Linked DNA regions of Oryzias latipes. The protein of the gene in region 4 purifies or fractionates together with the protein of the main gene of each other region. This does not show direct contact. Links are inferred from orthologs where the notes say so. Each region holds a gene or a part of one and is shown on either strand. Other genes may lie near its edges.

The links.
Region 1: the proteins of cdk2 (region 4) and lin37 purify together in Homo sapiens (affinity purification with mass spectrometry; 3 studies listed by BioGRID and IntAct, with this or other methods). This does not show direct contact. The link is inferred for Oryzias latipes from reciprocal best matches to the Homo sapiens genes CDK2 and LIN37.
Region 2: the proteins of cdk2 (region 4) and pcna purify together in Homo sapiens (affinity purification with mass spectrometry; 8 studies listed by BioGRID and IntAct, counting the BioPlex papers as one, with this or other methods). This does not show direct contact. The link is inferred for Oryzias latipes from reciprocal best matches to the Homo sapiens genes CDK2 and PCNA.
Region 3: the proteins of cdk2 (region 4) and ccnd1 purify together in Homo sapiens (affinity purification with western blotting; 12 studies listed by BioGRID and IntAct, counting the BioPlex papers as one, with this or other methods). This does not show direct contact. The link is inferred for Oryzias latipes from reciprocal best matches to the Homo sapiens genes CDK2 and CCND1.
Region 5: the proteins of cdk2 (region 4) and e2f4 purify together in Homo sapiens (affinity purification with mass spectrometry; 4 studies listed by BioGRID and IntAct, with this or other methods). This does not show direct contact. The link is inferred for Oryzias latipes from reciprocal best matches to the Homo sapiens genes CDK2 and E2F4.
Region 6: the proteins of cdk2 (region 4) and histone acetyltransferase p300 purify together in Homo sapiens (affinity purification with mass spectrometry; 3 studies listed by BioGRID and IntAct, counting the BioPlex papers as one, with this or other methods). This does not show direct contact. The link is inferred for Oryzias latipes from reciprocal best matches to the Homo sapiens genes CDK2 and EP300.
Region 7: the proteins of cdk2 (region 4) and ccne2 purify together in Homo sapiens (affinity purification with mass spectrometry; 10 studies listed by BioGRID and IntAct, counting the BioPlex papers as one, with this or other methods). This does not show direct contact. The link is inferred for Oryzias latipes from reciprocal best matches to the Homo sapiens genes CDK2 and CCNE2.

The regions. Positions count from the first base shown.
Region 1 is NC_019874.2:15,177,520-15,181,636, forward strand, and holds the start of lin37 (protein lin-37 homolog), read right to left. Parts: upstream 2,801-4,117; 5' UTR 2,756-2,800; intron 2,429-2,755; 5' UTR 2,392-2,428; coding exon 2,358-2,391; intron 1,461-2,357; coding exon 1,385-1,460; intron 1,216-1,384; coding exon 1,165-1,215; intron 676-1,164; coding exon 646-675; intron 483-645; coding exon 397-482; intron 292-396; coding exon 131-291; intron 1-130. Other genes in the region: proser3 (proline and serine-rich protein 3), read left to right, coding at 3,322-3,387, 3,472-3,734, 3,828-3,976, 4,077-4,117.
Region 2 is NC_019867.2:6,551,446-6,555,667, forward strand, and holds pcna (proliferating cell nuclear antigen), read right to left. Parts: upstream 2,801-4,222; 5' UTR 2,559-2,800; coding exon 2,338-2,558; intron 2,121-2,337; exon of another isoform or gene 1,691-2,120; coding exon 1,593-1,690; exon of another isoform or gene 1,504-1,592; intron 1,498-1,503; coding exon 1,430-1,497; intron 1,411-1,429; exon of another isoform or gene 1,355-1,410; coding exon 1,160-1,354; intron 1,078-1,159; coding exon 954-1,077; intron 880-953; coding exon 803-879; 3' UTR 456-802; downstream 1-455. UniProt on the Homo sapiens protein: Auxiliary protein of DNA polymerase delta and epsilon, is involved in the control of eukaryotic DNA replication by increasing the polymerase's processibility during elongation of the leading strand.
Region 3 is NC_019861.2:4,929,971-4,934,096, forward strand, and holds the start of ccnd1 (G1/S-specific cyclin-D1), read right to left. Parts: upstream 2,801-4,126; 5' UTR 2,488-2,800; coding exon 2,290-2,487; intron 1,138-2,289; coding exon 922-1,137; intron 378-921; coding exon 218-377; intron 1-217. UniProt on the Homo sapiens protein: Regulatory component of the cyclin D1-CDK4 (DC) complex that phosphorylates and inhibits members of the retinoblastoma (RB) protein family including RB1 and regulates the cell-cycle during G(1)/S transition.
Region 4 is NC_019863.2:27,093,792-27,097,991, forward strand, and holds the start of cdk2 (cyclin-dependent kinase 2), read right to left. Parts: upstream 2,801-4,200; 5' UTR 2,482-2,800; coding exon 2,366-2,481; intron 1,782-2,365; coding exon 1,704-1,781; intron 1,607-1,703; coding exon 1,486-1,606; intron 1,409-1,485; coding exon 1,238-1,408; intron 978-1,237; coding exon 876-977; intron 796-875; coding exon 592-795; intron 1-591. UniProt on the Homo sapiens protein: Serine/threonine-protein kinase involved in the control of the cell cycle; essential for meiosis, but dispensable for mitosis. Phosphorylates CABLES1, CTNNB1, CDK2AP2, ERCC6, NBN, USP37, p53/TP53, NPM1, CDK7, RB1, BRCA2, MYC, NPAT, EZH2.
Region 5 is NC_019864.2:28,153,448-28,157,668, forward strand, and holds the start of e2f4 (transcription factor E2F4), read right to left. Parts: upstream 2,801-4,221; 5' UTR 2,721-2,800; coding exon 2,556-2,720; intron 1-2,555. UniProt on the Homo sapiens protein: Transcription activator that binds DNA cooperatively with DP proteins through the E2 recognition site, 5'-TTTC[CG]CGC-3' found in the promoter region of a number of genes whose products are involved in cell cycle regulation or in DNA replication.
Region 6 is NC_019866.2:19,365,422-19,368,921, forward strand, and holds part of histone acetyltransferase p300, read right to left. Parts: intron 2,888-3,500; coding exon 2,648-2,887; intron 2,554-2,647; coding exon 2,367-2,553; intron 897-2,366; coding exon 745-896; intron 1-744. UniProt on the Homo sapiens protein: Functions as a histone acetyltransferase and regulates transcription via chromatin remodeling. Acetylates all four core histones in nucleosomes. Histone acetylation gives an epigenetic tag for transcriptional activation.
Region 7 is NC_019874.2:25,659,709-25,661,989, forward strand, and holds the end of ccne2 (G1/S-specific cyclin-E2), read right to left. Parts: intron 1,817-2,281; coding exon 1,706-1,816; 3' UTR 501-1,705; downstream 1-500. UniProt on the Homo sapiens protein: Essential for the control of the cell cycle at the late G1 and early S phase.

The DNA.
Region 1 (4,117 bases), on a different chromosome or scaffold from region 4:
TGCTGCTTTACGAACAAAGATAAAGAATGCTCTTTATGATATTGTGATGTTGAATTACAAAGAGATTGGTAAATTTTCCCTGTAAATACAGATTCATATTGCCCTTGTTGGACATGTTGGACAGCCCCACCTCTTCCTCTGTCATGCCGGGCGGGGAGCCGGGGGAGGCTACAGACTCTCGAACAGAAGGATTGTTTTTCATCCAGGCACGGCAGATCGGATACAACGGGGTGCTGGTGTTAAACTGAGCCAAATCGACGCTGCGATCAAACAGCTTAATGATGTAGGCATCTAGGAGCAAAGCAGATCAAATAGAAACGCTTCTTAACAATTGAAAAACTGCTGTAAATGAAAAGCTTGCACACAATAAAAAGCAAAAGTCAGAGTCAAATTTACTTTGTTTATGCTGATTAGTCTCTGGTATTCCCTCTTCCATCTCTTTCCTTTTCTTTCTACGGTGTTGTGGAAATCGAGTTGATTGTCTGAAAAAAATAAAAATAAAATACCACATCAAAACAATAAATACAATTCATGTTAACTGTTTCAAATAGTCGCTTTTCTGTAAAAAAAATGTTTAGGAACAGTACAGGACATAAAAAAGTATAAAAGACATTATTAACCCACGTTCTGAATACAGAGACTTACCTTTTTCCAGCAGATGATGGAGACAAATCCCTAAAAAGGGCAGAAAGGATGTTATCTCAAAACAAGAAATTCATTTGATCATTATTTAAAATACTCAAAAAGCATCAAAGTAACAGCTGAATTCACTGCAGCTTTATACAGTATATTGTAATGTACTGTACTGTACAAAGCTGCAGTATACTGTATAATATACTGTATACTACAGCTTTATGCAGTATATTAGAATATATATCTCTATTTTAAACTGTGTGCAATATTCATGCTGTATGTGCAATATCCATTCTAATGTGGAATACCCACTCGTGCAATATTCACCCCACTCTACTGTACAGTATTTAAGTATTTATGCCTTATATAGCTCCTTATTCTTATTTTATTTTATTCTACCTTTTTATATCGAGAGTTGCTGGAAAAAATTTCATTGTGCTCTGCAGAATGATAATAAAAGATTCTGATTCTGATATCAATTCCTCCTCACTTATAATTAAACAGAACAAAAGAAAAATTTACTGAGCTTACTTGTTTAAAGAATCCACAGATATTTTCCCAGGATCATTTTCGTTTGGATCCCTGTTTAAAGCATAACGACAATTTTAGACAGTGATGAGCGATCATTATGATGATAATAATAATAATAAACTTTATTTGTATAGCCCCTTTCAAGATAAAAATCACAAAGTGCTTCACAGTAAAACAGAATATAAAAAGAATTATGAAAAAGCATCACAATCTCACTAACTTCTCATGTTCACTCTTCTCTACAAGTCCTTTCAGCACAGCATCCAGTCTGCTGCGTGCACCGCTTTCCTCCAGCTCTGTAATAGAAACAGTTACAAAAATTATAACAGAAAACATGGATAACCATAAAATTATTACCATTAAAAGATATGTGCAATTAATTTAGCTATGAAGTTCCCAAAATCTTAAATATTTTGGATGGTAAATAAAAAAGAAATCGGACTTTTTTGAAGATACAAAGTACTATATGGAATCTAGTGGTTCCTTAACAATATTTACACACAATTTATTAAGCTATACCGTACCATAATTTTACATTTACAAGGAACGATTGGATCAAAACTGGATTATGACAACGATGCAAAAATTTGTAATGAAATAACTCACTAGGGGTGGGATCATACAAATGTCTTCCTACTCCTTTTCAATTAAAAATTAAAACTTGACTTTAGTTGGTAATCATATGGAATGAATCTGATGTGACCTAAATGTGTATTCTCTGCATCATTGCAGAAAAATCGATTCTGGATTATGAGTAATTACTATAACTTTCTTCTTACATTTTTTTTAATCAGTGCATTTCATTATTTCTGTTTGATAAAACTGTGTGATTTCCTTTTCTGTATTGTCTACAATCAATGCTTGAACTAAACCAATGGATCAACCAATTCCTAAATAGACGTTTTTAAGGGGTTAGGAGAAATTATTACACAAATCACAATTAAATAATTAACTGCGCTTAATTTTTTTTAAACGTTTCATTTATTATAAACCAAATGTTATATTATTTTTATACATATAATAATAATGTGCTTAACTAGTTTGTTATTACCCCTACACATTACAATGTAAATTATTTGACTTCTTTTTTTTTTACTGCCAGAGCCTTTCGGTGTCTCTGTGAAGCTCTTTTAACTAAAGGTGTCTAATTAAATAAAACAACAGTTCGTGAAAATAGCCCTGCTCTCTCTTACCTGGCCTTTCCGACTTGATCTTGACGTGGTGCATGGTGTCAAACAATATTTCCCAGGGGGTAAAAACAGATCTGCGTAGTAGATCAGTAACTACAGGTAGTCACAGTTTAATTTGTTTTAAAACAATTAAATATGCACCGAAACTAGCTGCGCTCCTGCTTTCAGTTAAGTTAGCTAACCTTTGCGTTAGCCTCACCCCAAACTCTTAAAATTACGCCACAATTTTTTTATCTACATGTATTTAATTATTAAATTGACACGAAGAGAAACATTTTACCCTACCAACTACATCTATGTAACAACAATATTACACTGTTCACGCTCTGTTCGATGTGGTCAAGTAGTGTTGTGGGTAAGCTAGTGGCCAAACAACCGTTGCTAACTGCGTTTTTTTTTACCCAGAAGTATCCCTGTCAAGGTTTTCTCTTCCGCGCGCTGTAGACTCTATGATCTGATTGGATGCTTTGTGAGCAGAATCTTACTATTATTGGACAACTGTTCTGTCCATTATTCAAAACTCAGCCCCTGATTGGTCAATTTCCACAAGCTGTGTTCTTTGCCGTAAACAACTCAAACGCTACAGCTTTTCTGGTTTCATCCATCTTGTTAGGTGTACTTTAATCAAAAAGCCAACTAGGTAGGTTTTTCTTTTCTTCACAAAATCTTAACTTTTGGTCTTGTAAATCTGTGTCATTGTTGTTGTACGTGTTTGTTATGGGTCAATGTGTTGCTTGATGTTGTGGTGTGGATGTGCAAATCCACAGGTCAGGATTTTTTTATCATCCACCAAATGAGCAGAAAAGTACAGTTTAAATTAGACTAGAGAGGAGGGGTCAGAAAATTAGAAGTAAAAATAATAAACATACAACTTATTTTATGCGTTTTACTATTGCTTAATCATTTTTATTAAAAAAATTGTGTTGATGCTGTTCTCACAGGGCAGAAATTTCATCTGCCACCATCCATGGAAAGAAGGGCACACAAGCAATCATCCAGCAAGCAACTTCTGTCAAAGACAAAGAACAAAAGTGTTAGTATTAAAGATAACTTCATTAACATCTTTGTTGTCAAGTCGATTCTAACTATTACTTCATACTTCTTGTACTTCTTACAGACGCGCAGTCCTGGTTGCACAAGCAGGAGATCCGGTGTAAAATTACAATCATGTGCTCAGAAAAATCAGAAACTGTTTAAGAAACATGATCGCCATGTTTCTTCTACTGGTGGACAATCTGTGGCTGCTGAGTCTTGGCAGTCCCCTGAACACGCATCTCGTCTTGGTAGCATCACTCCTGATATGGAGGAAAGAGATCAGCCTCTGAGGTCTGAGGCTTCCAAAGATTCCTCAGGAGTTCAGGAAGATTCTGTGCTGGCTAAGTGCGTGCCGTGCTGTCTGGTTTCATCACAATCTCATTTCATATTTAGTCTTTTAACGTTGCTCGACAAATCATTAACCTTTGCTTTTTGAAGATACATAGAACGTTTTCGACATGGTCTACCTCAGAGTCGGAAACAGCGCCAGCCAGTGACTCCTGTCTCTGGAGAAGAGCAGGAACCTTTGTGGTGGATGTTCCACTCATCATCTCCCTGTGGAAAACAAACTAAAACATTACATAAAGGTACATTTTATCTCTTACCTTTGTACCCGATAATCAAACAGTTATTTTCATAATAGTGTATGTTTATTATCATCTGCATGATCTTACTATCCCTGGACAGACGACCACGATTCTGCTGTCACACATGATGGATCCGTCACT
Region 2 (4,222 bases), on a different chromosome or scaffold from region 4:
GTCTGATGTATTTGCATGAATATGTAGATTATCTTTGTTTCATTTGAAGGTGGTCCACTTTAATAATGCTGTGGGATGTAATTTCTCTGAAAGCAGGCTCAGAACTCAGATTATGTGGTTAAATCCCAATCAGACCATCAAAGTGAGCTGCTTTTTTGTTCACTGTACTGTAAAGCTCAACCTAACACTGTGGATAACCTGGAATATCTCATGCTGAAAAGCTGATTTTTTGGTCACGTTGAAACCTCTTCTACCTTAAAAAGGGGGAATAGCACCACCCAATGGGCGTTTTCTGGTTACACATCTTTTCCTCTGGGACAGGAGCAAAAAATAAAATCTATTTGAATTGCATACCAACAGATGAAAAATAACAAAAATATCTGAAGTTTGACCCACACACATGTGCACTTATTAAAGGTTTGCTAGTGAAACTATAAAGTGGACAGCAAACAACGTTTTTTAACAACTTGAATCCTTTATTTCCGATTGAATTTATGAGTACAAAACATTTGGAGCTTGCAGTGTGACGCCACAGGAATTATTTACAGAGGTGTTATCTACAACAGAATGGATACCTGCAAACAAACGGGATAAAAAGAGGGAGAGAACAGGCCTAAAACAATTGCTGGAAACTACGACAGATGTGTCTGCCAGCTACTCTGAGCGTCCCTGGACTTCATTTTGAGCCCAGGAACCTCAGAGTGACCACAGTTCACCACAGTAAGATCCCTTCAGTCCTTCAGGAGGAGTCCCAGTCATCCATCACCTGCATTCTCCCCCCTTTTCGGTCTGTGCTTCCAACTTAAGAAGCTTCCTCATCGATCTTCGGGGCCAAGTAGTATTTGATGTGTCCCATATCGGCAATCTTGTACTCCACCACTGTGAACAGATAAATGTGATGAGGTCGAGCTTCAGCAGGTGTGATGACGGACACACAACGTAAGCCACCTTACCAAGGGGGATATCAGCAGACATGCTAAGGGTTACAGTCTTTGACAGCGGAGTGGCCTTGGTGAAGAAGTTCAGATAGTTGAGAGCAAAAATCAGCTGGACGGGTTCATTCATCTCAATGGTGACCTGAAGGAAAGCGGGAAGTTACAAAACGATGTCAAAACAAACCGATTTTCCTCTGCAGGACAGATCCACCCCTCATACTTACGGCCTCTTCTTCTTTGTCCACATTGCTGGTCTGGGACAGCTTGATGTTTCCCGTGCCCAGCTCTCCCGAAGCGGAGAATTTAACACCGTCTTTGGCACAGGAGATCATGACGGCGTCGCCGATCTGCGACAGGTCACGGCAAATACGGGCGAACTCCCCGGAGGGCATCTTCACCACGCAGCTGTACTCTTGTTCCTGACAGGAGCAAAGAAAGTGAAGATCAGGGAATGCTGGGAAATACTGCAGAAGAGGTAATTAAAAAATACCTACTGGAATGCCCAGCTGCTCCACATCCAGGTCCATCAGCTTCATTTCATAATCTGAAACTTTTTCTTGGTCTGCAGGAACACAGAAAAGTGAAAAGGAGCATAAAGACTTTGGAGGATTTTCATCAGATGAACAGTTTCCGTATGACGAACAGTTAGAAACTTACTGATGGTCTCAAACACAAGAGCCAGAGTGTCAGCGGCGTCCTCCGCTCTGAGGGTGATGATGTCCTCATTTCCCGCACACTTCAGGATTTTGGACATACTGAGAAAAGCAGTAAAACATTTGAGCTTTTATTTGAATAGCAAAAATTTAGCTTTTATTAATGTCACCTTTTAATCTATAAGTATAAAGTACTATGTTTGAAGTAAATTTATTTTAAAAACGATAACGTGGTATGTTTAAAAAAAATGATCCAAGTATTTGTATCAACATGCTAATCTAATTCCGGAAACTCTTATGAAAGAGTGACGTAAGCGGAAGTGCAAGTTCCCGGGTTTTGAGGATTCCCGCCAACACTGCCGGCAAGAGTTTTGGCGCTAAAGTACCGCAGCAAGTGCGGCTCTGTGACAGCGCAAAGACATATTTGCACATGTCAACGTTTTAGACGTTTTGTTTTTTTGCTGGTTGAAATCAGCGAGTGGACAGTAAAGAGTTAACCGAGCAGGGAGACATGCCCGGGCTTCTCCAGCAAGATGGCCTCCTTTGTCGGCCTCACAACGATCGACGTTTCACTCGTCCAAGATGATTTTGGCGCCACACACGATTACCATGAACAATTCGTAAATGTCTGAACTTGAAGTCAGCCCCTGATAATCACTTTAAATACATTTAATAGGCAGAACACATGACATGCAGATTATACACGAAGCTTCCCTCTTATTAAACTTTGTTGTTTTTCTCCCCGTCACCTGCTAAGGTTGACTCCCATGGCGAGGTTTCTGTCGCAGCGGTAAGAGTCGAAGCCGTCGTGCCGGAGAGTGAGCTGCACCAGGGATACGTGAGACGAGTCCATGCTCTGCAGAGAGATGCCGGACGAACTGACGTCCCAGCAGGCTTCTGTGATCAAATCCTTCAGGGCTTCCAGGACCTTTTTCAGGATGGAGCCCTGGACCAGGCGAGCCTCAAACATGGTTATTCTGTGGAGGGTTGCGTAGATCGAAAAAGAAGGCAAAGGTTGGTGGAGGTTTTCAGCGCTGCTCCGGTAAAAGGAGGCTGCAGTGAGGAGTAATCACGACGTAGGCGATGACAAAGCGGCTTTGGCAGTTCAGTCTTTGTGTGGCACGCGGGCTACAGACGCGTCTTCTACAACAACCACAAGATTTGAGCTGGAAGCCCGCGCAAACGCCTGTTGTTTAATAACGCTGCGTCGTTGCGTCATTTCCGGACGTGTGACACACTTCCGTCAATAAAACGGAAGCTGGATGCAAATCTGCAAAAACATTTTTGTTTAGAGATTTAAAAAGGAATCTGCTTGTTGAAAAGAATTATTTTCACATTTTGGGCATGTAAAACATATTCCCGTAGTTTTTAATACAAATTGGGAATATTTCTGACTTTTAAAAATATTACAAAAATATTTTAGAATGAAATTAAAAGGTCTAATTGTTTTTGTTTTTAAAAGAAAGTGACCTCATTCTTAACAAAACACTGGTTAAATAAATGTTTTCTCTTGTTTGGTGTGGTAGATTATAATACTCTTAAAATAAAGTGAGAAGAGTTTTCTTAAGTCATCAGATGTCCTGCAAAAATGACACTAGTTACTATATTAATTAAATCTGAGGAAATAAGCTCCTAATGTTGATCAATATATGGAGTTGTTGTACATTTGTAACATTGAATGCCTGAATAATATTAATTTGTCTCATGTTTTACACATATGTTTGTTTTAAGAAAATTGCATCATTTACAAATGTACAAAACAAAAAGATAAACGTTTAAATGATGTTACTAAAGCATAATGCATAATATTCAGACTGTCTCGGGCCAAAGTCCTCTTATCAAAATCCCAAGGCACACCACCATCACTCACACACACACTAAAACTCTTTCGACTGCATTAACAATACGCATTCTCATCAAAGAGTCTTGAATAAGAATCAAATAAACACGAAGACAAATTTTTTGTATGATTTTTCATATTTCATGTTTGGATGAAAGCAGAGCTGATATTCTGGCAATTGTAAATGTTTTTTTTAGACCAATTAGACCAAAAGAGTGAAATTGAATGATTTTCTATGACACAGCTGATTATCCTTTCCAGTTTTCTTTTTATGTTTATATTGATGAGAATATATTGAGAAGAATAGAATTTTGCTGAGTAAGAAAAGTTAAAAAAATTTTTTTAATCAAGTATATCCAAAACATCAGTAAAACTTCATCTTCACATTTATTTTATTTGCTTAATTTTTAATATTATCACTGGAGCAAATATTCTGCCCCTTTTTTTACACCTTCTGCTCCTGAGTCTTAAAGATGCAAACCTTTACAGTGGAAAGTATCAATTTTACTTTCCACTGACTCCAACATCTTACTGAACAATACAGACTTTGTTAACACCGATTATGACTAGTTTAAATGTATGGAGCATCAAGTTTCTTTTTACTACTTTAACCTCATGGATGTTGTCAATGATTGCTTGATGTTTTATGTGGAATTTGCATTTTAATAAATAAGAAAAGCTGACACACAGATTCAAAACTAATTTTATATATAAAATTACACTCAGGAAATGTAATTTCTTCACCAGTATTTTCTTTGGCATTGTCTCAGTGCTGTTTTAATGAAAGTAAAAAC
Region 3 (4,126 bases), on a different chromosome or scaffold from region 4:
TTGTGTGAGGTCAGGTTTGACTGACTGGGGCTTGCTGACCAAAAGATGACTTCCTAAATAGCTCACTGGTACTTCCCACCGCTGTTTGACGGCATGGTGGTTTGCAACTATTAGGGCTAATTCAATCTTAACCAGTTAAATATCTATAAATGTGATTGGTGTTTTAATAAACTGCAACAACCCAGAAACCAATAGACATGTAACAAAGAGCTAGTACCTGTAGCGCAGAGAGCCACAAAGGTCTGGGCGTGTTTCCTGAGGATCTGCTTTGTCGATGCGTGGATTGTCAGCTTGGACAGGAAGTGCTCGATGAAGTCATGAGGTGTGACAGAAGCCAGATCCCATTTCAGCTTGCTGAGAACCAGCAGCTCCATTTGCTGTGGAAGGACCAGAGAAGACGCAATGCTTCATTTTGTGGTTGACAAACATTTGTTTTTCTTTATGTAATTTTCCATCAAATGCCATCAATGATAGTTTCTAAATTGACAGGGCTGACCCAGCAGTCAATATTGAATCCTTCTTATGCATAAATAGGCTGTAATGTTCTACCTAAACAAAGTGAATGACAGAACAAGACATTTTCTTTTTTTCTAGCATACATCTTTCTACTGTCTGCACATCTGTCTGACGGCCACTAGGTGTCACTGCAAATTAGCAGACGCCACCAAAGACCATTGATGAAATCAGAGGCCTTCCAGTCTCCATGGGAAAGTGCAGGCAGTCATTCAAACGCTGCAGCAGACTTCCATGCACATTTCAACCACAACGTACATCAGTAGCATGACTGCATGCTTGACATGTTGCAGCCTCGGCGCACCAGCAACCCAGACCGAGCCCTGCCTCCAGCCAACGCGGCCTTCAGGCATTCTGGTCATGTTCTCCCATTGTTACGCAACATCATGTCTGCAAGAACTTAATTACCAGCAGTTCTCCAGGTTGGACCGAGTTGTCTGTGTAGATACAGAGTTTCTCTGCAGTCAATGGTACCGTCTCCTTCATCTTAGATGCCAGAAACATGCATGTAGCTCCAAGCAGCTGGAGTCTGCTTTTCCTGGTGGGCTCCACTGATAAAAATCTGTCCAAATAGTTCATTGCCAACGGAAAAACCTCCTCCTCGCATTTCTGTTCCTCACAGACCTAAAAGAAAAAGAAAATAAAGTGTTTTAGAGGCCGACACTGGCATGGAGACATTTCTTTCTGTTCAAATGGAACAATGATTTCACTTTCTGTAAGCAGTCTGTCTTCCATCCTGCACACTATGATCCTCTCCAACTAATTTAGAAAAACTAAAGCATCTTTCATTTTTCGGCTTTTAAAATACGTGGAAAAAAATTGTTAAAACCTACAGACCAACTCTCAAGAAAAGGCTGGAAAAGCAGGTGAAAGCTGCAGCGGGAATGAGTTTACAGTCAGTTCTGACGGAGACACAAAGGTGGCGTCGACGCAACTTTCACTCCAATTTCAACTTCGTCATCTTTTCAAAAAACACTTTAAAATATTAACAAAAATCGCAGGCTGCTTATTTTAGCAGATACATGAAGCTGAAGGCGCGCCTGATCGGATGATAATGTCATTTGTCTTGTTTGGAGAACAAATTGGTTTTTATTTTTATTTTTTAGGCGAAGATTCTTCACGTGCTGCAGCCGCTGCTCGCACAGCCCGATGCCACATTTCAAAAATTAATTAAAAATATTTAACCTAAAGACTTTTGAACTGAAAGTTGATGTAAATGTTTGAAATGCTTCTGAGTATCAGATCCGACGGATCCGGTCCGTCTGCGCTTTGGATTTTCGAAGGAATCTGCGTTTTTTGGCGTGAAGTTCGTGGCCGTGGCTGCGCCTCCGGAGGCCGAACAAACTCCAGCTTTCGATCCCGCTTCAAACTTTATTCTCTTCTCGTGTCAAAGTCCGCGCTTTACCGGCCCGTTCCCCGTTATTTCTGTTAAAATGACATCATTCAAATCAGATCCCGAAGCTCCGCAAACACCGCAACAAAGATGGCGCGTAATCAGAAACTGGCACGCACCGGGCTGCATACGTGTACACCGGGAACGTTTCGCTGAAAACGTCCCGTTGGACCGAAACATCAGCTGAAATGGAAAAGAGCTGACGGGGAATGAAGTCGGCGGATGATCAGAGGCGCGCGGCCGAAGCCGAAGGGAGGCCAACCCTCACGCGAGCAGCAAGCCGCGTGAAGAAACTAAGCGGCGTGAGCGAGGCGCTCCAAACTTTGGCGTGACCTGCGGTTCCGGTCAGAACAGCTGGCAGCTTAGACGCACAGAGCTGATACCTCTAACATCCAGGTGGCCAGAATCTTCCTCATGTTGGGAGCGATGTCCTTCTGAACACACTTGAAGTAGTTGGGCGCCGGCAGGTAGTTTTCCTCCGCCTTCAGCATGGTCCGCAGGACGCGCTCGTTCAGCAGGTTGACGTCCTGGTGGGCTCTCCGGATGGAGTCCACCTCGCAGCACAGCAGCTGCTCCTCCATGGTAGCAGGACGAGAGCGGAGTCCGCCGGCGGTCCGGGCCGTGTTCCCGCGGGCAGGAGGCTGCACACACCAACTTTCAGCGCCCTTTCTTCTCGCGTGGCTTCTGCTGCCGCGTGCTGCTGCCCCTTCGGTCGCGCGAGCCCTCTGAGGGCCAGACCTCTCTGCTCTCGAAGACAAAACCCCCGATCCGTGCGCGCGTTGCGTGCGCGACCACGAACACGCGCGCACACAAAGTTGATCTGCAGAGCGCACAGTGGAGAGGTGGTGAGAAACGGTGGATGCGCGCGGTGACGTCAGCGGTTGTTAGGGCGGGGGGTATCAAAGACACATGCAGTCTGCTGGGGAGCGCGCGGAAGGGATTGTTTTATGTCCATATGTATGTGCGGGGGGAGGGCTCTGGTGGAGAGGTGGGAGGTCCGGCCCACCGGCGAACGCTTCCATCCTTTGGTCGGTAGGGGGCGGTGGCGATCCTACACCCCCCCGAACCCCCACCCCACCATATGTCTTCCTGGGATTGAATGAAACCGACAACATGAGGTTTCCACGAAAGGACAGGGACACGCCGTTTGCTCCATTCAGGAGATCCCACCAACCGTTGTGGCTGAAAGCAAACAGGGTTGGAATCCAAGCAGTCAGAGAGGAACCAGGTTCAGGGCGCGTGCACACTGCATCCCCACTTCAGACACATGAAACAGATTCAGGTCATTTCAACCAGATCAGCATCTTCTTTTAACTTCTGGAAGTTGCGAATCTCAGCTCGGTTGAAAACGTGACAGGAGCTGACTTTACCTCAAAAGATTCCTGTGAGACGTTCAGACAGACAGGAGGAGACTAGAGTCGCACCAATGGGAGGAATTGCTGTTACTAGGCAGATGTTGGTGTAACTTTCATGTAGGGAAAAGTTCATTGCTCTGAAAAAGTTGACCCTGATAACCCTCACAAAGTCCTTTCACACAAACTTCCAAGTCAACATTGCAGTTTTGTGTTTGTGGACAACTTCCTGATGCTGAGTTCACTATGGTAAAAAAAAAAAGAAGCTCTTTTTTCTCTTCAGTCTTATAAGTTGTAAATCAGGTAGAACAAGCCTCTTTCTGTCCTTTATTATACATTTAGGCACTTTAACGAAAATGTAAAAAGTACAAACAGAGCACTTTTTAATCCAGTTTCAATATGAATCAGAGCTTTTTGCATTCCTGAAATTCCACTTTGGGCCGTTTGGTTGACTACCGTAAAGCCTGAAGAGGGGGTCCATGTGCTGGAAGAGCTTAAAGTCACATCAACACATTCCCAGTCTCCTGCTTTTTAAGGACTAAACATCTGAAGTGAAAGTTGCTGTGTGACAAAAAACAATCCTCATTTACCTGTGCAGGAATAAAGAGCAGATCCCAGGATATACTGAGAAATCCTCTCAACGTTTATGTCTGTTCCTTTATTTTTAAATATTCTAAACGTTGTCTACTTTTTGAGTGTCCGGCTTTTGATGTTGTAGTTCATGCATTGTTGGTCTGAAACCGGAATCTTACCTCTGCAAAAGTTCTGATGGAATAAGGTGATGAACGTGAGCAACAGAATTTTCTGATTCAAAACATTTATTTTTAATAATTTAATGGAAAGGCTTTTTTGTGTGACCCCATTTCAC
Region 4 (4,200 bases):
TTCACACGTTTTTTGCACTGTTTTAATATCATCTTTACCTTACTTTTGTATTTATTTTTTCATTTATTTTGTACGCCTTTGGATCGTTGTAATAAAACATAAAAACTGTTTGTTCTCAAATTTTTTTAGTTACCGGTAATACAAATTAGTAAATTTAAAACCTGAAATTGAGTTTTTGTAAAGTTTCATTGTGAAATTATTGGGATATAATTAAAAATATTCTGCTAAAAAAAAAGAGAGACAGAGAGAAGCCGCGGTTGTACTAAAAAACAAATGTCAAGCATTACCACAAAAACTATTTTAAAGATAAATTATTAGAGAAAAATGGAAAGTAGGAAAAAAAGCTGAAAGGGCACCATCCTAGAAAGGCAAACAAAAAATTTGAAAAGGTTTTTTCAAGTCAATATTTCTGAGCTGCGTTTAAAATATTGTTTTTTTTTTTTCAGTAGACAGAAAAAGTTATAATTTGCATAAGAGAATTTGTCATCCTTTCTAAACTCTACACATAAAAACAATTACTCTTAATTAACGCGTTTGCAGATATTTAACAGGAAAAGAGTAAAACATGTAGCAATCAGAAGAAAATCTCACTCCGAGCAACTCTCTTCCATCTTCGTCTAGAAGCGGAACCACTTTGGATAAATCCTGACGAGCCCATTTGGGGAAGGAGGGCTTGTAGTCGGGCATGGATGTGACTCCGGGCCACGCCGTTTCGTCAGGTGTGCCCAGCGTGCGAAAGATCCTGAATAACTGATCGATCTCAGAGTCTCCGGGAAACAAAGCCCTCCTGGTGATCTGTGAACACAGACCATCAGTTTATTATCAGCGTGCTCCTAATTCTTTATTGAAGTTGGTCTTGGGGTCGAGCGCGTTACCATTTCAGCGAAGATGCACCCCAAACTCCAGACATCGACAGCTGTGGAGTAGTATTTGCAGCCGAGGAGGATTTCTGGGGCTCTGTACCAAAGTGTTACCACCTGAAAGATACCACAAAGAATCAAGAACGACTCTAATGTTTTATTATGTGAACCTGATACAAGACAAGAAAAGGTCTGAATCAGATTTTGAAAGAGCAAAGCTAAGAAAATACATATTTTGGGATTTTATCCTTTAAAATAAACATTTTCTCACTATCCAGCACTAAAAATCCCTGAACCACATTAGAAAAACAAAATCAGCTGTTATCAGATCGATTCGTACCTTGTTACAGATGAAGAAAGGGAGGAGCACACTGTACCTCATGAGTGTAGGTGCGGACCGGCACTCCAAAAGCTCTCGCCAGACCGAAGTCTGCCAGTTTGATCTCACCCTGGGCGTTGATGAGGAGGTTTTGGGGCTTCAGGTCCCGATGAAGAACTCTGTGAGAGTGGCAGAAAGCCAGGCCTTGCAGCAACTGGAAGAGATAACTCTAGAAACACAAGACAGTAAGAACAAGGAATCAGGTCTGGACAGTTTCAGGATCTTCTCTTTAAAGAGGACGCTCACCTTCACCAAAGCCAGCGGGATGCCAGTCACAGAGGAAGAGTCCATGAATTTTTTGAGGTCCTGATGGAGGAACTCAAAAACCAGATAGAGTTTGTTTTCTGTGTGAATCACATCCTGCAACCTGGACAAAAAAAAAAAGTTGGTTTAAAACATAAAATCACACAAAATGGGATTCTTTTGAACAAAATAAACATATTTCTGCATGGTTAAACACTTACTTGACAATATTTGGATGACTGAGTTCTTTAAGAAGTGAAATTTCTCGAATCGCTGTGCTTGGTACGCCCTCTGTTTCTCTGGATTAAAGAAATCACAAATTTAAGGATCAGCGGAGATTGTTTTATGAAGTTAAATGCTTCCTTTGTCCCATTGATAAATTGAATACAATTTTCCTAGTTATTGCACAATAATTCATTTTGATTAAGAATCATTTTAAATTAAAGCAATTTGTTGTGTTTATGATGCTTTTCCAAAACTTTATGGACAAATGCACATGAATTTGTAATCATCACTTTTGATCAATTTATTGACTAATTGTGTTTAGTGTTCCATTACCCCCAAAGGCAAATAGAGATGAATAAAACAGATGGTGAATAGATTTTAAATGTAACTGAGTAGGTTTAATTTGACAGTGAAACCAACCAAACAAGAGCTGAATGCTTTTATTTTGTAACATGTCAGTTTTGTTTCAACTTTGTATTATTATTTACTTTTATTTTTTAGGTCTTTGTACATAGAGTGAATTTAAAATGTTTTGTCTTTTCTGTAATTAATGAAACTGTTTCATGAGGGGACTGGAATTAAGCATTTGAGATAATCTGAATCACAACAAACGCTTCTCAGAGGTTTCAACCAGCAGGAAGAAGAACTTTTCACTTACGTATCCAGTCGGATTTTCTTCAGCGCAACCGTTTCTCCGGTCAGTTTGTTTTTAGCTTTGTAAACCACTCCATACGTCCCTTCTCCGATCTTTTCCACTTTCTGAAACGTATCCATTTCCCACCAGAATCGGACCGGACCTCTTTCTTTGTTTCGGAGCTAACGTCTTCTCGGAGGCTACAAGCATTAAGCAGCGCGGGGACCGACCTACAATTACCCGCTTCTCCGGGTTTCGTCATGCGGTCCAGGCTACAACCAAACCAAGGGGTCCCGTTCGAGGACAAACTCTCTCCGGTCAGAGAGCGGCACACAAAAACGGACAGGTGAACATCTGTCAGGTAGTAACACTAACCCCTAAATTGAGGATTAGCCCGGTGGTTGCTCCGCGGTGGAAAACAACACAACGGCGTTTCCCGCGTTGTGTTGCGGGCGTTCGTTTTTGTGCTCGAGACACACCGTACCGTTCAGAGCAGAAGCAATTTATTATTTTCCCTTTTCTTGAATTTAGCAGTAATTAAAGTCAGTCCTGATATATGGCACTGGTGAAGGTAGACCGCTATGTTTATTGTATTTAATCCAATGATTTTATTGCGAACTGGTGTAATTGGAGAAATGAGTTCCTCGTCTTCCGGCGTATAACGGAATAATAAACAAGCCGCACTCTTTGGTCACATGGTCTACGGCGTAAAGGAACCAGAAAGCTACGTAAAAGCGGTTAAATATGAAGGGAAAAAAGTTTAACGCCCACAAATAATGTGTATTTTTGGAACATTTTTTTTTATCAATGTATACATTTTCATAAATGCATTTATATTCCAATTTAACCATCAGTTAAAAAACAAAAATCAAAGACGGAGATTATTTTTTTTTAATTTTAATAACTTTATTGACAAACATTGCACATACAGAATTTCACACCAAGTGCAAATTATTGAAGTTGCCATGAGGTTGAATAACAAAAAAATAATAATAATAATAATAATAAAATGAAATAAATAATAATAAAATAAACAAAATAAAAAAAATAAACACATAATTCAATAAATGAATCAACAAAAGTAATAATACATAAAAGTTTTTTAAAAAAAGCATAAACAGTCAAAATAAAAATAAAAAGACTTCAAAGTTTCAATTGAGACAAAACCTTTTTAAGTGTTTTATTAGTTTCTTTGTTAGTGCAGCATTTCCTTGTCAAACACATTCACACTGTTTTTTGTTAGTGAGATAAAACTGAAATCCCAAAAGATTATAACCACTCCTGACAACTTTTTGGCAAAAAAGTAGTACACTTGTACACCTAAAGTTTACTTCTTAAGTATACCTAAGTATAATTACAGCAAATGTACGCCTACTATACTCCATGTACATGCAGTACAGGAAGTATACTAACAGAATACTTCTCAGAATAAATTATTACATTTTATGTCTTCAATATATAGTGTATAAAAAGTAAACTTAAAGTATAGACTCCAATGGACTATCTTTGCCACAGGATAAGAAAAGTATGTTAGAAAATATTATTAATTTTCTACTTTTGTAAACCAAATTTTACACTAACAAAAAGAAAAAAAAGTTTTTCCTTTGTTCAACTTTTCTATTTGTATTCATTGTAATATATATATATATAAATATATATATATATATATGTATTTGAAGAGATCGAAATTGAAATATCATTGTCAAGTAATCACTTTTATGTTGGTATAAATTATTGAATTACATAAGTAGCCCTCTGCAGTAACGTGGTTCTAATTCAGATGAAACACTGGAATTTATGTATTTTTTATTTTTCATTTATTTTTCAGAACTGTGTATACACAACACGCATACACTGCT
Region 5 (4,221 bases), on a different chromosome or scaffold from region 4:
AAGTCAGTTGGAAAGAAAAAGAAAAAAAATGTGTGCACGTGCGTGGAGTGTTTTATCTGCGAGGTGCAGCGCAGCTTAGAGTATCAGCAGACACTATATCAACCCAGTCACACAAGAAGGAAATGATCAGGAAGACAGACTCAAAAAGAGAAGAAGCAGAACTCTTCATACATAATGTAATGCCTGAATGGTCAAAATGACAGTTAAGAAAATAACAAAACAGAATCAGTGTGTTGTAATTTAAATGATTTTAGACTCAAGTGTCTCTCTTCTATGACTGTTATAGAAAAATATGTACATTAGGGGGGAAACAATCAATCCACTTATTTGATAAATTGATTTATATTACTACGATCCAACCAAATAAATCTGTCTGAGGCAAGTTGCTGATCCAAGCGACCTATACCATTAAAAAAAAATCCTTTCAAAATGTAATAAATTAGTTATATTGGAAAATACCATTTGGATTGAGGCACGTTAGGTTTATTTACTATAATGTAAAATCGACCATCACAGCAGACAACACACAAGTGATATCAGCAAAAACTGATCAACCGTCATTCCAGTCCAGTTTGTGGAAAAACTTTGAATTTAGCAAAGACATGGTCCCATCCAGTGGGCTAGAATGTTCTAAGAATGTTACATTTTTTAGGGTGTATTGATCCTTTTGAACAATTCGGTTAATATAATAATTTGTGGTTGACAATACGATTTATAGTAGATATTTGTTCATTTTGAACGATCCGATTCACTGACCTAAAATAGATCCAGGACATTTTTAGCCAAAACATCAATCAGTGGGACTCAGAGAGAAATACCTGGTACTGAACAGCACAGCGGAGGTTTTCCAGATTCCTTGCAAAATAACCAAGCGTAAATTAAATAAGTGTACAAACACACAAACAAGAATGAATGGCAAATCTAGACACAATAAATCACTAATTTATCGTTATCATGATATGATATATCATGCAAAAGTCTGCAAAAATTGCAATAAATCGTAACCTTAAGAGTGCTAAAACAATCTCATAGCAGCTTGAAGTATTTAATGAATCAAATAAATTCATTTAAACATTTGACCAATCAGATGGAGCCTTTCACGTGGTTGACCAATGGGATGGAGCTCTTTTATGTTGGCCTCCTATGTAGACGAGGGGCAACTCTTATTTAAATTAAAACTGTTGCAGTGAAATGGAAATTATGGTTTTGATCGTTTTGCTATTTGTTCATGTATCGCAAGTTATATCCTCATCGCAATGTTTATCACTAATATCGCATACCGCGAGTTTTCCTCATTATATCGTGCAGCCCTAGTCAAATCCATTCACATTTTTGGTTTCATCAAGTTGCGACATATGACCACACTGTATGGTCAAAAATTATGTTTCCACACATCGAGCCGTAATGATGGTTGGTCATGCTTTGCTGCCGTCACATGCGTGTTGTCTACTGTGATGCACTCGGTTATTTTTACAGTTATGGTCAAATAAACCTTCAGAACCTCAATCCAAATGGTGTTTTCCTATATCCATATAATTGATTTATTTCATTTTGAAAGGATTTTATAATAATAAAACACGTTGACTCAATTAACAACTTGCTTCAGGTCAATCTGGTTGGATCGCAGCAATATAAATCGATTTACTGATTATTCGTAACAACCCTATCTATGGCAAAAGTGGGCTGAACTTTGACACTAAAATGGGAATTACTTGTTTGTTTGTTAAGCCATTTTATTTACATTTACAAGAAATACAAGTGACACTGTTCAGTACCCATTTATTTATCTCTGAGTCCCACTGATTGATGTTTTGGCTAAAGATGTCCCGGACTATAAATCATGTCGTGAAGCACAAATTATAAAGTGGATCAAATTGTTCAAATAAATCGTAACACCCCTAATGTAAAAATATGAAAAGTGCAAACGTTATATATTTTTTTGTATTTGTAGAAAACTATTTGAGCTTTTACATCAAACAATGTGGGACTTTAGCAGAATCCCAATAGTAAACATTCCTGCATTAAAGCTAGTGATGGAAATGTGGAAATGTGGCCCCTGTACTGTGAAAAACAAAGCTAGCCTAATTTAATCAACATCTGTGCGAGTACTACTTCACGCTTTGAGTCATTTCTGAAAAGCAACATTATAAACGCATGTCGTTCGTGGACAAAGACGCAATCAATCATAAAACAAACTTGCTCAAGTGTGAAGGTGCAGTGGCTTTAACTGAGAGTAGAATGACAAAAGCTGACCCACTTTCTAAACTTTGAATCTGCAGGGGGGCAGAGAGTCGAAAAAAGTTGACCGGTGTTCTTGAAATTCACTTCGTTTCTTCACTCAGAAAGGCAAAAATCTGCACCATAAAATATTAAATGTGATTTTAATTGTAAAAGTGGTGAACTAAAACAACAAACTTAGAAGGCAAAGCTATCTTTCATTCAAATTAGCCTGTCACACAGCTAAGCTAGGCTAGCATGCTAGCTAGATACCATGTAACTTAACGACTGCGGGCTGGCTCAAAGTGACATGTGCTAGCTAACAACAAAGAGCTCACAGCTTTCAGATCCAGGACTCCGTCCTTCGCCTCTTGTAATAAAGTGACGAACTTCGTCGTGAGCAAGCCCAGGCTCTTCTCGTGCCTGCTCGGCGTCTGCGGTTGCAGCGAGTCTCCCACGGTTCCCGGGTCGCCTCTGTTACTGGCCGTCTCCAGCTCCATCATTGCTCCGGATCAGCTCCGTACTTCCCCTCTTCTCTTGCCTGCTTTCCGACTAAATCCAGCCAGCGAGCCCAAGAAAGAAAGCTCCACCGCCGCAGTTCGAAACACACACGCGTGGATGGTGTGGTGCAAATTTACGAGTCAATACTAGCTGCTTTTCTGAAAATAACTGAGCAAAATCGAGCTGAAGCAGCGAGTATGGAAATTCAATGAAGGAGCAGTCGGTGGAGAGCCGTTGGCCACGCGAGGTATGACGGGACGGTGCTTTCGTTTTAGGGACCGTGTGCAAATGTTCATGAAAAAATAAAACCACGTAAAAAATACATTTGCTAGCACGAACATGTATTTCTAGTGATTTATTTTTAATGTAACATTGAAAAAAGTATGAAAAAAGACGGTTAGTAGTTTTTCTATTGCGATTTTAGGGGAAGTATTGGTTGCAAGAATTTTTGGTAGAGGAGAAAGTTTAACTCGAACTCTTAGCAACTTAAACTTGAAGAAAACGCACTTCCACGCGCGCACACGCAGGCACCGTTCTTCAAATGAATATTTGAAAATTATTTTCCCCTCTAAAGCTTTTCTTCCAAACCACATTGTCATTGACTGAAACATTTTCAAGGTTGCAAAGCAGTGCGAATTAGTGTACTGTGTAAACATTGGTTTGTAAATTAAATATTTTGAATTTAACTATTTGAGTTCAGTATTGCATCCTAACGACTTTATTTTTTTTAACCACAAAAATGTTACCACATAATTTAAGTTTAAAAGTTATTATAGGGGTGTAACGATTAATCGACTTAATCAGTGAAACAATTTTATATTTCTACATATTTTCTAGGGCAGTTGTTAATCTATTATCTATTCAAACTATTATAAAATCTTTTCAAAATTAAATAAATCGAAAATGTCAAGATTGGAAAATAGCATTTGGAGACATGGTAGGTTTATTTTACCGTAACATAAAAGCGACCAAGTGCATCACAGCAGACAACACATATGTGGTGGCAGCCAAAAAATAAAAAAGAATGTTACAGTCCAATGTGTGGAAACACTTTGAATTGTGTAAAGACATGTGGTCATGTGTTACAACTTTATGAAACCAAAATTTGAATGGATTTTCTTTTAATTTTTGTTTACTTGTTTATGTGTACACATCAACTCTACACTTGCCAGAAGTATCAGAGTACCAGAGTCACACTGGTTTAAAAGTTTTGGCTAAAAATGTCCTGGCTGGATTTTAGGTCAGTGATTGAACTGGATCGTTCAAAATGAACCAATATTGGCTATTAATTGTATCAGGAACAGCAAATCATGATATAAATTGATTTGTTGTTAAAATGAACCGCTACACCCTGAACTACATATCTTTAAGTTTATAAGTTACTTGATGCAGTAAAATTTTTTAATTTAACTACAAGATGTTAGAAATGTGCATGTCTTTCACAACCTCACCTTGCAGAGTTTGGCTGTTCTCCCCAGGTTTAAGCGTCCATCACAGCTGTTC
Region 6 (3,500 bases), on a different chromosome or scaffold from region 4:
TGGGTTTATGTGCAGCCTGAGACTTTGATTCGTGAAGCTGCATCACTTGGAAGCTGCTGAGGGAGAGCCGAGCCAATATTCTGCCGCTCGCTCCTCTGAAAGATGTCTGATTTCATAAAGAAGAGGCTCAGGCAGAACTATTGGGCTCAGATTTGTGTAGGAAAACATGAAACAGGCTTTGCTCCACCTCTGAAAAGTGCGCCATCCAATTACAGCTGAGGAGGAGCACAACTAAAGCAAGCAATGGAATAACATGATGACAAAAATGAAAAAGATGTCGGAAAAGCAAAAATAGATGTGATTGTAAATGAAAGCATTTGACTTGTGAACTGCAAAAACTCCATTTCTGAAATCTTATCAGACTCTCCAACTTACCACTGTATTCGAGGTCACATATTTATTGTCTGCAGCCTTTTTAAAATGCCAGGATTTTCTACACTTGCATATCAGAATCAAAATACAGTGTGGTTCGCTGAAATGTTCACAAGTCACTGCTTTCATTGACAATATTATTCAGACAAGACATTACAAGCTAAAGCACACACAAGTCTAGCAACGTAATTTAACTTCTGTCATGCAATGAAGCAAAAACAAACAAAGATTAATAGGAATTTAAAGTACATCTATAATTCAAAGCAAAAATGAAATGAAAAAAAAAGAAAAGAAAAATGCCTTGGATGAAGAAAAAAAAAACTAAGCATTCACAGGAGTTGAAGCAAAATGGCAGCCAGCGCAGTCCCTTACCAGGTTAGTTTTGTTACTAGTTCGAATACGTACAGGTATTCCTAATAACTGGGGGTCCACCGGCTGGCGGAAGGGAAGAGACTCTGGGTCCTGGCGGTACAAAGCCTCCAGGGTTGGCATCAGAGCCTGACGCAGCTCCTCCGGCTTAAAGACTTGAAAAGAAAATGAAAAGAGCAAAAAGAAAGACATTAAAAAAAAGAGTTTAGAAAAAAAGACCAGAGCTCCAATGAAGGACTTGAATTCCTGTTTGAAGCTGGTTCCAAATCTAAAGTAAACTTCTGCAGGTCAGCTGACCAAGTCACCACAAGGTGGTTTATCACAAAGATAAGTCACTTCCAAAAAGGTATTTTCCTTGTATTAATTGTATTAAACAATTTTTATCCTTCCTAATTAAGTGTGCTATATTTAATCGAACTACAAGATTTAAAGTGGGCTAAAACCGGACCGTAGTCTTTTTAATCACAGTTGAACTCCTGGCCCCAATGGTAATGCCTGTCAGGCTCACATATCTGATAAAGACCAGGGTTTGATGAGGTCAATTCCAGCCGAGATGGTCGAGACTAAAGAGCTAAAACACAACATTTAAATCAGCATGAGACAAATCACAACATCCCATCATTATGCTGCCTCTGGAGTCAAGGAGCCCCAAACTTCACAATGGGTGGCAGGTAAACTTTACAATTGTCTCCATCAGTGTTTCTAAACGCCGGTTTCATACTGTTAGGTGTTTTCAACGTTACTTTCCTCTCAAATGTCAGATTCGGCCATCTTTCAGCTAAAACAATGATACTCATTAAATGGTAAATGGCCTTCCTTGAAGGCCCAAAGCGCTTTACAGTCACAAACCCATTTACACACACACACACTTTTACACACTGGTGGCGGCTCCGCTGCCGACCACTGGCGCCAGCCTTCCACCAGAAGCAGGGTGGGGTTCAGTGTCTTATCCAATGAATACTTCGACACATGGTCGGGCAAGGCGGGAATCGAACCTGCAATCTTCCGATCTTCCGACCACCCTACCGCTGCACCACGGCGGCCCTTTAAAGCTTGGTGTGTTTAAACTGGCTAAGAAAGGAGGACCAAGGTTATGTTAATGTCAATGAACATTCCGTGGGGGCATTTTGAAGACAATTATTTAACACTATGGTTACCAGATATAACCTGACCAAATCTGGAGTTTGATCGAAAATAGTTCACTGGATGTCCGGCACACACACTACTGGAGCTGAAGACTGATCAATCTGTGATTGAAAACATCGCCATATATGAGCAGAATTTCAAATCAAAGTTAGCATTATGGTTTATAAAATTCAGACCCAGAATGGGACTGGATCTGCTTGTATGAAAAGCTATTTAGTGGATATCTTGAGAGCCGACTTGACTCCGGTATTACTTACAACTGTCAGGAAAAAACCAGAAGAAATAGATGCATTTCTAGACCCGCCGTCTCTATACGGACAGCAAATATTTATAATCGCCTGAAACTTTAAATAACCAGAAAAAAAGGCAAAAGAATCAAACAATCTCATCAGCTCATCACAGAGTATTTTCTGGGCCCATCAAGGTGGATGAGATCCGTTCGGGTGATGACGATGACAGAGTGACGACTTGATGCTCACTTTTCTTCTTGCTCTGAGCAGTGGCTGGGGAGCTGTTGGTGGTCGTTGACCCCTCCTCTTCCTCTTTAGGCTCTTTCTTCACCACTGGCTTTTTGTCCTCACTTGCTCCTGCAGATGACTCAGAGGAAGAAGAGGTATCCATGGGCTCGCCTTTACACCCATCTCCAGATGGCTTCTCTTTCTTAATCTGAGAGACAGAATTAAGATTTACTTTCTCCTTCGCTGAAATGCAGTGATTCACAGCTAAACTCCAAATCTTTGACAGTCTCACAGAACCTCACCTCTGGCTTTTCCTCTGCCTTCACCTCTGATGAACCCCTTTCAATATGTCCTTTGCCATCGCCCTGCCCTTCTGCTCCTTCATCTTCCTCCTCCTCCTTTTTCACTTCCATTTTGACATTGTCCAGGCTGAGAGCAGGGCCCTCGACAGCGGCGAGCTGGGATGTGGGATCGTTGGCGCTTGCGACCGACGCAGGAGAAGAAACGTGTCCGTCTGCCGTTAGAGAAGGCTTTGGCGAGAGCTGAGGCAAAGGGGGAGGAGGGAGGACAATTAGAACACACCCACTGCTTTCCTACACTTAAAAAAATAAATTCCGGACTTTCTAGACTAACATTTTATAATAAAAATGATCAAGATCCACCCCTTTTTGTCATTTATTTCAGGAACTTTAAGTCATAACTGCTGATGAGGGACAGCAACAAAGAACTTCCTAACCAAACTAAATTAGGAACTAAACGACTGTCATCTCTAGACCAGCATTTGCATTTTTACTGCGGTCCGATATGTTTGCTGGATTAGGCAAATCAGGTGTGCTGCAGAGTACGGTTCCTCCTGGCCACAACCACACCTTTACTGCAGCTCATTCTGTTGTCAGGCTGTTGACTTTCTGTGCTGCAAAAACTCAAAAGATCTCCTGGACAAAGTCGGGAATAGAATGACGATCAAAACAAATCTCATGTTTTGGTCAAATCTTTCAGAAATGGTAGCAAAGACAAAATGACCCCAAATTACCCTGAATCCAATTAAAAAACGAACTGCAAGAGATATTCTCAAATTTAAAACAATCCCACCCACAACTCAGAGGTGAATTTCTAATAAACTACTGCCGCTCTGCAGAAACTATGTCCTAGAAA
Region 7 (2,281 bases), on a different chromosome or scaffold from region 4:
CTCACAACAGGTTAGGAGAGTCTTCTGCTTTTGATTAGTGACAATTCATGTAATTAATCTCTTCTTAATCATAATTTATCAGCACTCTGCACGTAATAATGATTTCTGTAATACATTAATGTATTTTTATGAAATCAATAAGTACTTAATCTTTGCTAGTTGATATTAATACTTATTTGATAAATGATCTGCACTTGTACTGGTGAAGTATGAATAACTGAGACCTGGATGAAGGTAACTATGTAAAGAAAAATAATTAAGTAAAGCAGAATAGATGGAGATAATATGAATTCACTTCCTCTTACTCCTTTTCAATCAAATAATTTAACAGTTTTTGGCAAATTTATTATTTACTGTCTCATGTTTGTATAAAGGCTAATATCTCTATGTTTAAGTCATTTTACATGTAATATATATATATAAATATATAAGTACATCATCTCTATAGTATTTCCCATGAATGAATGCAGTAACGTCATTCCTTCTCAAAGACATTTCCACCCGCTTAATCTCCCTCCGTTTATTTAAAACATTTGAATATAAAAATGAAATTACACATTTCTGAATTGCTCTATTTACAAAAATGATACATTCTTGAGCATCGACACACAGTTCACATGGTTACTCGATGGCTGCAAAAATCGCACAGTCACAGGATTTGATGGCGTTCGTTCGCTCGTCCGTTCGGCTCGCTTCAGAACAAACTAAGCAGTTGTCTCCCAAAAAAGGCACAAAATCAGAGTTGGTTGACGCACACACAGAAGGACAGAACTGTCATTCACAAAGGTGGTAAAGGGCAGAATCATAAATAGCTTTTGCCTTTGGCAACAATCAGATTGAGTTCCATTTCTGAAAAATTCTACATATGAACATTTTATTTTTATATGCTATGGATTCTCAATAAATACGAGCACTTAAAATGAAACTTTGTACAATTGTCAAGTTTCCCCAGGAATGTAACAAGAAGGTGCAACCAAGTTGCAAGTTACCAAAAAAAAATAAAAACATGAGTGAAAGACAATTTAAGCACAGGCACGTCACATGCATTTCAAAAGAAAACACACAGGAACCATTCCTTTACCTCGTGTGGCTACAAAAACCCTCTGTGGTTCATTTAACTTCAGCCGGTCGGTGCGCTGAGGCAACAATTGAGAGTTATTCCACGAGGCAGTTATCGATGGTCACGTCGGCTTGGACTCAGAGCACCTGAAAACTCCACAGTGGAATGGGAGTCCGCGGCATAAACCACAGGAATTTGTCATTTCCTGAGGAATGATTGAAGCACCGAAGAATCAATGTTGGCAGATGACCAGTGAAGTTCTGAGACAATATGATCAACCAGCAGAAATTCATATTTATACTTAAAAGCCACATTTACCGCCTTCACCTCTTCCTCCAGAAACAAGTAAAACTGATGGTGGTAAAAACCTAAATCAACACTCAATTAAAATAAGAACATTTTGAATAAAATTGGCCAATCTGACTGTAAACTGCAATTTCTGCAAAAGATTCATAGTCTGGCAACCTTCTTTGGTCCCAGAAACCTGAACTTAGTGTTCATGAGGAAAAAACAAAACAAAAAACAAAAAGGAAGCAAAAAAATGAAAACAAAAAAGCGCCATCCACAGCGATGCATCCCAGGAAGTCAGCGATGGCGCCCCGTTGGACAGCAGAGAGGTAGCTGGACTTTATGGTTACTCGCTCCTCAGACACTGGTGGGTTTCTCTGTACTGCTGGGAGGAGTCAAGGTGGCTGCCGTAGCAACAGGCGACATCTGAAAGTCGTGGCTGTCGATCTGACGCTCCTGAGCTTTTCTCTGCGCAGAAAATGTTTTAGGTGAGAAACAAGAGTAAAAACACACAACAATCAGCTTCAATGCTACGTTCCCACCGCCCTCGTCTACGTCTTTGCGCGTTTTGGACCGCCATGTTCAAAACGCTCTCGCATCACTATGAATGATTTAAGTCCGTTTTTGGACATCCGTTAAATTTTAAACTGAGCTGACCTTTGACCAATCAGACTTGGAGTTTGTGGTGATAAATGGATGACGTCCCTTTTCACTTACGGGAGTTTCAACTGTTTGAAACTTGACATAAAGTCTTTTATTTTTCAGAATAAAAGAGCTGGAACGAGATTCATGAGTTGTGAATCGTTTTGACACCAGACCTCTCCTAACTGTGGGTGGTAGACATGCGGTAGTATTCGATAGAAACAGAAGAGGTCCACCTTATGATGAAAGCACCTTCAAGAATGTGGGTTTCACACGTTTTTCAAAGCCTGT